2 linked regions of the Oryzias latipes genome follow. The protein of the gene in region 1 interacts with the protein of each later gene in a pairwise test. Links are inferred from orthologs where the notes say so. Each region holds a gene or a part of one and is shown on either strand. Other genes may lie near its edges.

Evidence for each region.
Region 2: the proteins of poli (region 1) and rev1 interact in a two-hybrid assay, tested with the Homo sapiens proteins (2 studies listed by BioGRID). The link is inferred for Oryzias latipes from reciprocal best matches to the Homo sapiens genes POLI and REV1.

The regions. Positions count from the first base shown.
Region 1 is NC_019867.2:1,943,855-1,948,248, reverse strand, and holds the start of poli (DNA polymerase iota), read left to right. Parts: upstream 1-1,519; 5' UTR 1,520-1,647; coding exon 1,648-1,732; intron 1,733-1,809; coding exon 1,810-1,929; intron 1,930-2,571; exon of another isoform or gene 2,572-2,617; coding exon 2,618-2,782; intron 2,783-2,897; coding exon 2,898-3,044; intron 3,045-3,186; coding exon 3,187-3,423; intron 3,424-3,499; coding exon 3,500-3,678; intron 3,679-4,332; coding exon 4,333-4,394. UniProt on the Homo sapiens protein: Error-prone DNA polymerase specifically involved in DNA repair. Plays an important role in translesion synthesis, where the normal high-fidelity DNA polymerases cannot proceed and DNA synthesis stalls. Favors Hoogsteen base-pairing in the active site.
Region 2 is NC_019879.2:9,987,775-9,992,032, forward strand, and holds the start of rev1 (DNA repair protein REV1), read left to right. Parts: upstream 1-1,261; 5' UTR 1,262-1,525; coding exon 1,526-1,683; intron 1,684-4,258. UniProt on the Homo sapiens protein: Deoxycytidyl transferase involved in DNA repair. Transfers a dCMP residue from dCTP to the 3'-end of a DNA primer in a template-dependent reaction.

The sequences.
Region 1 (4,394 bases):
TCCGTGTCCGGAACAGTTAGTTTTAAAAAAAAAGTAAAAATTATGTACGACTGAGTTTTAGGGCCAGTTTACAAAAAAAAAAAAAAAAAAAAAAACTTTAAAGTCGTGATTAAAACAAGAGGAAATATTACCATGAATATTCCTAAATTTGTTAGAAAAAAGTAATCCGCAAATTTAGGATAAAAAAGTAGGACTTTAAATCTCGTAATACTACTTTTGTTTTGGGTGGCCCTAAAACTCCATCATAATTATGAAATCATATTGCATTCATTTGAAAAAGAGAATCTGAGGTTTTTCGGGATACTTTTGTTTGCGTTTTTTTTCCCCAGTGGATCGTAAGATAATTTTTTTTTTTAAAGTGTATTGCATTCAATTGTAAATGAAAAAAGATCATTCAAATCTTTTCCACATTTTCATTCGAACATGTTTAAGAACTACAAACAGGCTGGGCTCTAACCTCATCTGCTCATGGAAATTATAAGATGAGCAGAAAATGTGTTCTTCTTTTCTTTTATAATATGTTTTAGATTTTTTTTTAATACATGAAACGTTTTTTGTGTTTGTTTGCTTGTTTTAATTAAATGCAAAATGTTTCCATACTTTCATACTATGGAAGCACTTGTGTCTCATAATTAAAAATGAAAGTCAGTACCAGAAATGCCTTTTCATTTTCACAACAAAGCTGCGTTTGTTGACTTTGTTTGACAATTCAAGAAGAAAAAGAAAAAGCAGTTTGGCAGATTGATTTTTCATTTTATTTTTGAGTTGACAAACGCAGCTTCATTGTGAAAAGGAAAAACTGTTAATCTGTTAATCCATTTTAATTGTCAAATTAGATATTTCTAGTTGAATGTTGATACACATTTACTAGAGAACTTTTTGAAAATGAAATGTCAAACACCATTCTCTTTATCCTTTTATTAAAGGTGACAGATTAAACTTTGTTGAAGAAACGAAAATGCCGTTTGGCAGATTGATTTTTCATTTTCTTTTAAATAGATAGATATAGATAGATAGATAGATAGATAGATAGATAGATAGATAGATAGATAGATAGATAGATAGATAGATAGATAGATAGATAGATAGATAGATAGATAGATAGATAGATAGATAGATAGATAGATAGATAGATAGATAGATAGATAGATAGATAGATAGATAGACAACTTTATTTATCAATGGGGGAGGTTCCCGCATGGAAATTGACATCTCCATCGCATACAGCACTGGTTGACATACGTATATGAAAGAGCAGTACAGTATCCAGAAAAATTAGAACAGTAAAAACAGTAACAGTTTAAATATCTGCAGAACAGCATATACAAAAAAAAGTCATTCAGGCCCTTTCCCTTTCCTTTTCTGTCCCCCTCCCCCTTTAAGTCAACAAATGCAGCTTTATTGTGAAAATGAAAAAGCATTTCTAGTACCGACTTTTATTTTTTAATTATGCTACACAAACGCTTCCATACATGGCTTTCTTAAGGAGGGGGGAAATAGGAAATCCAGGTTCGTCTTCCACACCAGTTGGTGGCGGTAATGAGCTTCTTAGCTGTTTTGGCGCCGCTATTTCAACCACAGAAGAAGAACCCTGGCTGAATCTTTTACACTTCAGATGTTTTTACAAACTTTAGACTCATAAATAAAATGGACAGCAGCGATGAAGAGATGGACGGAGACGATGGCCAGTGGAGGAGCCAGTTCACGGGTCCAGAAGAACCCGCCACTTCCGGTAAACTCTGAAGCTTTAAGCTAGCCCGTGTCGGAGCTCGCGGCTGTCATGAACTTCAGTTGTGTCTCCGTTTTCAGGATGGAGCGTAAATAATCCTCCAGGAGCTCCTCACAGAGTAATTCTCCACTTTGACCTGGACTGTTTCTACGCTCAGGTGGAGATGATCAGAGATCCTTCTCTGAGGGAGGTTCCTTTAGGTAAATTCTCTGTTTTAGGCAATTTTCCACCGTTTTCTTGTTTCTGCTGCAGTTTTCTTTTTTGATTTCAGATTCCCGCCTTTCATGGAGTTTTTTTCTTCTTCATTTTATTCCATTTAGATGACATTTTACCGTTATGACCATTTATGGACATTATATAATTGCACTTCCCCACTAAATAATAAATTTATTTCCATTTGACATTTAATATTTAATGGATTAAGTGTAGTTTTTAATATTTCTGTGTATAATTAAAGGTAATTATAATGACCTCATTAACATGTGGATATATTTATATGGAGATTAATGTAGGCTACATGTGTGTCTATAAATATATTTGTGTATATTTCTATACCATCTTTTTCTTTAAAGGTTTTTTCCAGTTGTTTCATAGCAAATAACCCTAAGTTCTAATGTATTTATGTACAGATAAGTATTTATTTAGTTTACTTTTTTCTGTTTTAAATTCCAGATTAACCGCACTAGAGCAATCTGGAATAAACTGGATTAAAGCAAAAACACAGGAACAAAACTTTGTTAAACATAAATGTATAAACTTAATTTAAAGGACGAACAATACATTGTAACAGATAGGAAATCTCAGAGCAAAACTCAGTATCCAGGTGTGACTTAGTTATATACCTCTTAGAATTTAAAGTTGCTCAAACGATGACGTCTGTGTCCTCAGGCATCCAGCAGAAGTACATCATCGTCACCTGTAATTACGTGGCGAGGGAGCGCGGCGTCACCAAGCTGATGTCTGTAACCGATGCCAAAGAAAAATGTCCAGAGCTGGTTCTGGTCCGAGGAGAAGACCTGACGCTCTACAGAGAGGCTTCCCATCAAGTGACAGGCAGGAATCTGGAGCCGTTCTTAGGCTAATTAAAAACAGATCTACAGGATCAGATTGTGGAGAAGAGCGATCCTGAGACTCTGATTGACTTTACCTGCCGTTTTCCTCCTCTCAGAGCTGCTGTCGTCTTTCTGTCCTTTGGTGGAGAGACTTGGCTTTGACGAAAACTTCATGGACGTCACAGAGATGGTGGAAAGGCGGATGAAGGAGACGCCGCCGCCTGAAGGATATTCGTTTTCTGGACACGTCTACAACCCTTCCAGTGAGTTGGACTCGCATCGCTGCTGCAAACCGTCGCTGTCAGGAAACTGAGAGGAACTTGCAAATCAGGATATTTGCATGAGAATCTCGGTTTCTTTCCTGCAAGCGGTCCGTTTTTTGCAGAACGCCATGCCTCTGTGCAGACGCAGAGATCAGCGGCAGCGACCACCCGCGGCTGGCTTTGGGCTCCTACATCGCGGCCGAGCTGAGGGACGCGGTCCACAGCAGACTGGGCCTGACGGGCTGCGCCGGCGTCGCCACCAACAAGCTGCTGGCCAAGCTGGTTTCAGGCACCTTCAAGCCCAACCAGCAGACGGTCCTGCTGCCGGAGGACGTCGGCCACATCATGGAGTCACTGGGCGGAGTTCGGAAAGTTCCAGGTACGGAAAGATGGCCTCCTAAAAAGCAAACCTGTGGCGTGTTTGAGAAACTGTTCAACCTGGACGCTGCCCTCAGGTGTGGGGCATCAAACGGCTAAAAAACTCCACCAGCTGGGCGTGGTTAGCGTGAAGGACCTGCAGCTCCTCCCACTGCCTGACTTGGTGAAGGAGTTCGGAGGCGCTGTTGCTCGGCGCCTGAGGAATCTCTCCCTGGGTGTTGATGACTCACCTGTCACCCCCAGCGGGGCTCCCCAGGTGAGTCGGGACATTCGCTGAGCTTCTGACAAAAATACAGACTTTGATTAGATCAAAAAAGTAAAATATATACCACACAGTTTTTTTTCTTTTTTAAATGACTTTAATATGATAAAACGAATGATATCTGATTGAACACAGACAAAGGAAATGTGTCAGTTCTGGTTGTTTTTGATCTCAGTGCGGCATTTGTCCATTGGTAATTTCACATCTGAGCTAGCAGAAATTATATGTGGAGTTCCCCAAGGCTCCATCCTGGGGCCACTTTTTCTATTTAGCATTAACATCAGGGCTAATATATATATGTACATATAGTTTATATTTATACTTTTTCTAAAGTTTTTATTTGAATAATCACCCCTTTAATATTCTTGTTAAATATTTCTTTAAATTTTTTTGCCTGGAATTATTTTTGATCCCAAAATCACCCGAGTTAACGACATCATTTTTACTTTTCTTACAAAATAAAAGTCTTGTTTCTGTGATTCTGATACTTAAAGAGTTTCATTGTTGATTGAGGAGCAAACAAATAGATTTATTGACACTGTTTTCTATTACATTATTTTCTATATGATTTTATTTTATTGAGGTTCAAAGGAGTGAATGAAGAACTGAAGCTTCATCTAAAAACTCCTGTCGTGTTTTGTGCTTCAGTCTCTCAGCGATGAAGATTCCTTCAAGAAGATGAGCTCCGAGGCCGAAGTGGTGGAGAAGAT
Region 2 (4,258 bases), on another chromosome or scaffold:
ACAAAACCTTCTAAAGGATTAACATGCATCAATTTCATTCTCACGGATGAAGTAACCTGAGGAGCTGTGTTGTGTATGACTGAGATTTTAAGTCATTTGCCAAACATACGTTTTGTGGAAAATGTCATTTTACTTATATTTGAATTCCTTTTTTTTCTTTTTTGAGCGCAGGATTCAAGTTAGGAAATACAATGTGTAAGAATAAAATCAACAAATTATTTTTTAAAAATCCCAAAAAGTTTGAAAATTTCTGCCAACTAGGTGTGTGAACGTTTTTTAAACCTTTTTTTTAACTGTGCAATATTTTTGAATTGTAGAATTTTTTTGAAAAATAAGAAAAAATCATTAAATACAAATGTGAAGAATGAATTATTTGTCTTTGTTTATTCTTTGATTTTAACCCCTTGAAGCATTGAAAGCAAATACTCATAACTTAACATGTTTCCCAGAGAAACATGTTAAGTGTATTTTTAAGGAGTGTAGCTCAGGTAAAACAGTCAACAACAATTTCATATCCAAAGTTCTACTTGAAAAGCATGAAAGCACAATAGAAAATATGTATTTGTCTTTTTAATTAACATTGTTTTACAACTTTAGTTAGAAGAATTTTTTTAGTCTTACTACTTAAATTGTTTTGTAAAAAGAATAATTTGTTGTAAATGTTAACAAATTGTGAAATAATTTGACACAGAATATTCAAATTTCAAATAATATTCATAAACGCTGGGGATCATTTACAATTTTTATTAGTTTTGTAACTTTTTTGATTTTTTTGCAAACTAGTTTTACTGAAGTATCACATGAAGAAAATATCCTTTTGCTGTTTTTCTTTTTCTCTGACCCACAAACCCTTGTAGCTTCATCTCATCTGAAAACACTTTGGTTCCACTGAGAGGCTGGTCCTAAATTTTGTTTACTTCACTGATTTTAAACAACATTTTACAAGGAAGTATTTTACATTCTTAGTCATTTTTTCATATTAAAAAGATATAAATGATGCATGTTTGTCTGTCAAAAACAAACTCACATGGTCTCTGGAGGGGACTGGAGTCACTTCCTGCTTCACCGACATAAAGCATCAGATGTCTGGTACCATAGCAACAGAGACTAACCAATCACAGGCTCCGTTGGAAATGTGTCAACAGCATCCTCTTTTCAATACAAAATTTCCTTCCCACTCATTCATTTCAAGAGCTATATGTTCGTTTATTTGTTTTTTTCGAAAATAACAGTCTTCTGATCCATTTGTGTAAAAAATTATTTTTTTATTTTAATAGTTTATTTTCAAGGCTCGAACATGGAGAATGATTTAGACTACATGTATGTGCAGGTTGTTGTGGTGGAGATCACGAGCAGAGGATGTTTTTCCACGGAGACAGTGTTAGATGACTGCTGTCATGGACCCGTGACGCTGCTGCTGGCTCGAGCAAACTGCACGTGCCTCTGCGTCACGGCGGTCCGGTTGCCTTCGCAACGGGATGGAGCCGCCTGAGGACAATGGTTGCCAACAGTCAAAACAAAGACAATGAAAAAAAGAAGCAATGAAAAGAAAAGAACAGTGGAAATGGTGGACACTAGACTGGTATCAATGGAAAAGGGAAACGATCAGTGTCATTGGATGAATACTATTATTAAGCAACAGAAAAACGGGGCTGCGTGTGAACGACTGCGGGGTCACAGCAGGTAAACAACGCGGCCGTACTTTGGTCAAAACTGTTGAGCCTCTCAACTGTTGTACAAAGAAGAGACGTGTTCTCTGGTGTCCGCTTAGAGGCGGTATTACTACTCAACTTGAAAGCGGAAAAAAAGACAGGAGGACAATTATCAAGCTAGCTGTAGTCGACAAAACCGGAGGTTGAGCTCTATTATTTTTCAAAAGAAAAGAACTGGGCAACAGAAGCGATGTTTTCAGACCAGGTTTTTACCAAAGGTTTTCCAAATCTTAAGGAGCCACCAGTCCTGCTTTGCAGCAAGTTAAATCCTGTAGTTTGATTTTATTTTTGCTTGACTTCTCCTTTTCAAAATTAGTTTACATTTAATATTGAAGCAACATATATAATATGAGCAACATGTATAGTATTATACACGGTAAAAAGATTTCAAATATCTAGGAAACATACAGACAGACAAACTTTTATGTATGTTAAAGGACCAGAAATTCATCTTTCAACATGGCAGAACACACAGAAATAAAATTAAATGAATACAACTGAAAAAATAAAATTATTAAAATATCTAGGGGGAAAAAATTCATAAAAAGTAACTGTGGGCCTTGTGTCTTTTATTTTGAAAGCGACTTCCCCGGAAGCCTGAATACAGCGGCTGCTGACAGGCGCCCAGAAAGAAAAAGAGAAGGCAAATGGATCAGGCGGTTGAAATGGAGAGCGAATGGATTGGGAGGGTGCGCAGAAATATTCAAGAGACATGGCGTGGCAGCGTGACACAATAAAGGAATTCCAGCTAACGGTGGGACTCGTCTGAATAATAAAGCCAAGGGGTCGAGCTGAGCGGAGGGTTTCCATTTCGCCGCGGTCTTACCTCGTTTAACCTGAGCAGCACAGCAGCGCTTTCACAACGGCTCAGTATCTGCAGGGAGAAGTGTGTGACCAACAACGTCGCCTGACAGCAAAAAAGGTAGCAAAAATGACAAAACCTGGTGACTTCTCCTGATAAACAGTCACTCAACCCCATTCTTTGATTACGACCCTATTACTTACGGTGTTGAAGTTGCACAGTCCGCCACCCTCTTCGTTGTTTAGCTCCTTCTCGCCAGGTTTGTTAGCAAGTGCAGTTAAAACATTTCCAGATTAGGCTGTATGGAAATAAAACGATGTTTTCATGCATTGGCGCGCGCCGGATAGCACGGCGATACATTTCTTACATTTGCTATGCTAATGTTAGCAGTTGACCTAGCAGCTAGCTCCAAATCTGAAGTGCCACATGGGGCTGTGTTGTGACCGACCTGTCAGAGGGAGGCTGCCCGGGCATGTCTGAGGGCACAGACCTCCCTCCACCACCATGCTGCCCAACATCCCGACCAACCCATGATCACAACAACAGTCTGACCACTTATACACGCAATACATGTGTTTACTCTAACTAAAGTTTGTAAACAGCTAGCCTAAAAATAGGAACACGTTAAGAAGAAAATCCCTAGAATGTAGTAAATTATCTGTCAATGCAGCAAGTTTTTTATACTTAGGAAATGTATATAATATCAACAAGGACTTCAAGTATTTGAAAAGTGAGCTAAAAACCATACTGTTAAATGTGTTAGTGTTGTACAGCCCAATAAAAAGTATTTTTGCTACTTCTATTTCTAAAAATAGGGTTTGTATTTATTGAGTTTTTGTGGACCCAACTGTAGTTCATTTTATTACAGTGACAGAAAAAACGAGTGTAAAAGGTAAAAATTCAATTTTTTTTATTGTGACCCTGAAGTACAAATCATTTACTGCAAAAACATCTTAACAATCACAACAATAAAAATAAAAATAAAAAGCAAAACAAAAAAACACAACTTTTTAGAAATCCAAACAAAATTCCAGAAACCAAAAGCATGATTTCAAAAAAATGAAAAGGTTGGGAATTTCCAGAATTAAAAATGAAAAGTAAATAAAATAAGGATGATGTTGGATATTGATGTTTGATTTTTGACATGAGTTTTTTTTTTTTTTTTTTCAAATGCATCTTCAATGTTTGGTTTTTAATGTTTTTGTTTCAATGTTTGGAAAATGTTTTTGTATAAAATGACAAAAACATTTCAGGAAAACAAAAGTAATTAAGTATAAAAAAGTTAAAAAATAAAACATAATAATAAACCAGAAGATGAAGGAAATCAATTATTATGACTGTTCCTTATTTTAACTGAAAGTTATTTGCCATAAAGCAATACTGGATCATCAGCGATATCCCATAGCACCTACCTTTCCTGGTTTCTTATCGTGTTTCAGTTTATTACATTTTATTTTGATTTCTGGGAATCATAAATTATTTTGTTTCATTTTTTTAAACTGTGTTTTGGTTTGTGGGACTTTGTTTTGATTTTTAAAATGTAATGTTTGTTTGTTTTTTTTTTGGTTTTTTTTGCTCTTTTGTTTTTTCTTAAGACTTTTTTGCATGAAGTGATTTGTTGGTGTGATTTGCACTTCAGGGCCACCGTACCTTTTAGACAAATGTGACCAAAATGAGAATGTGATCTTAGTACAAGTTGGTTCGTCTTAATAAATCCTCATAAAATCTAAAACTAGCACTTATT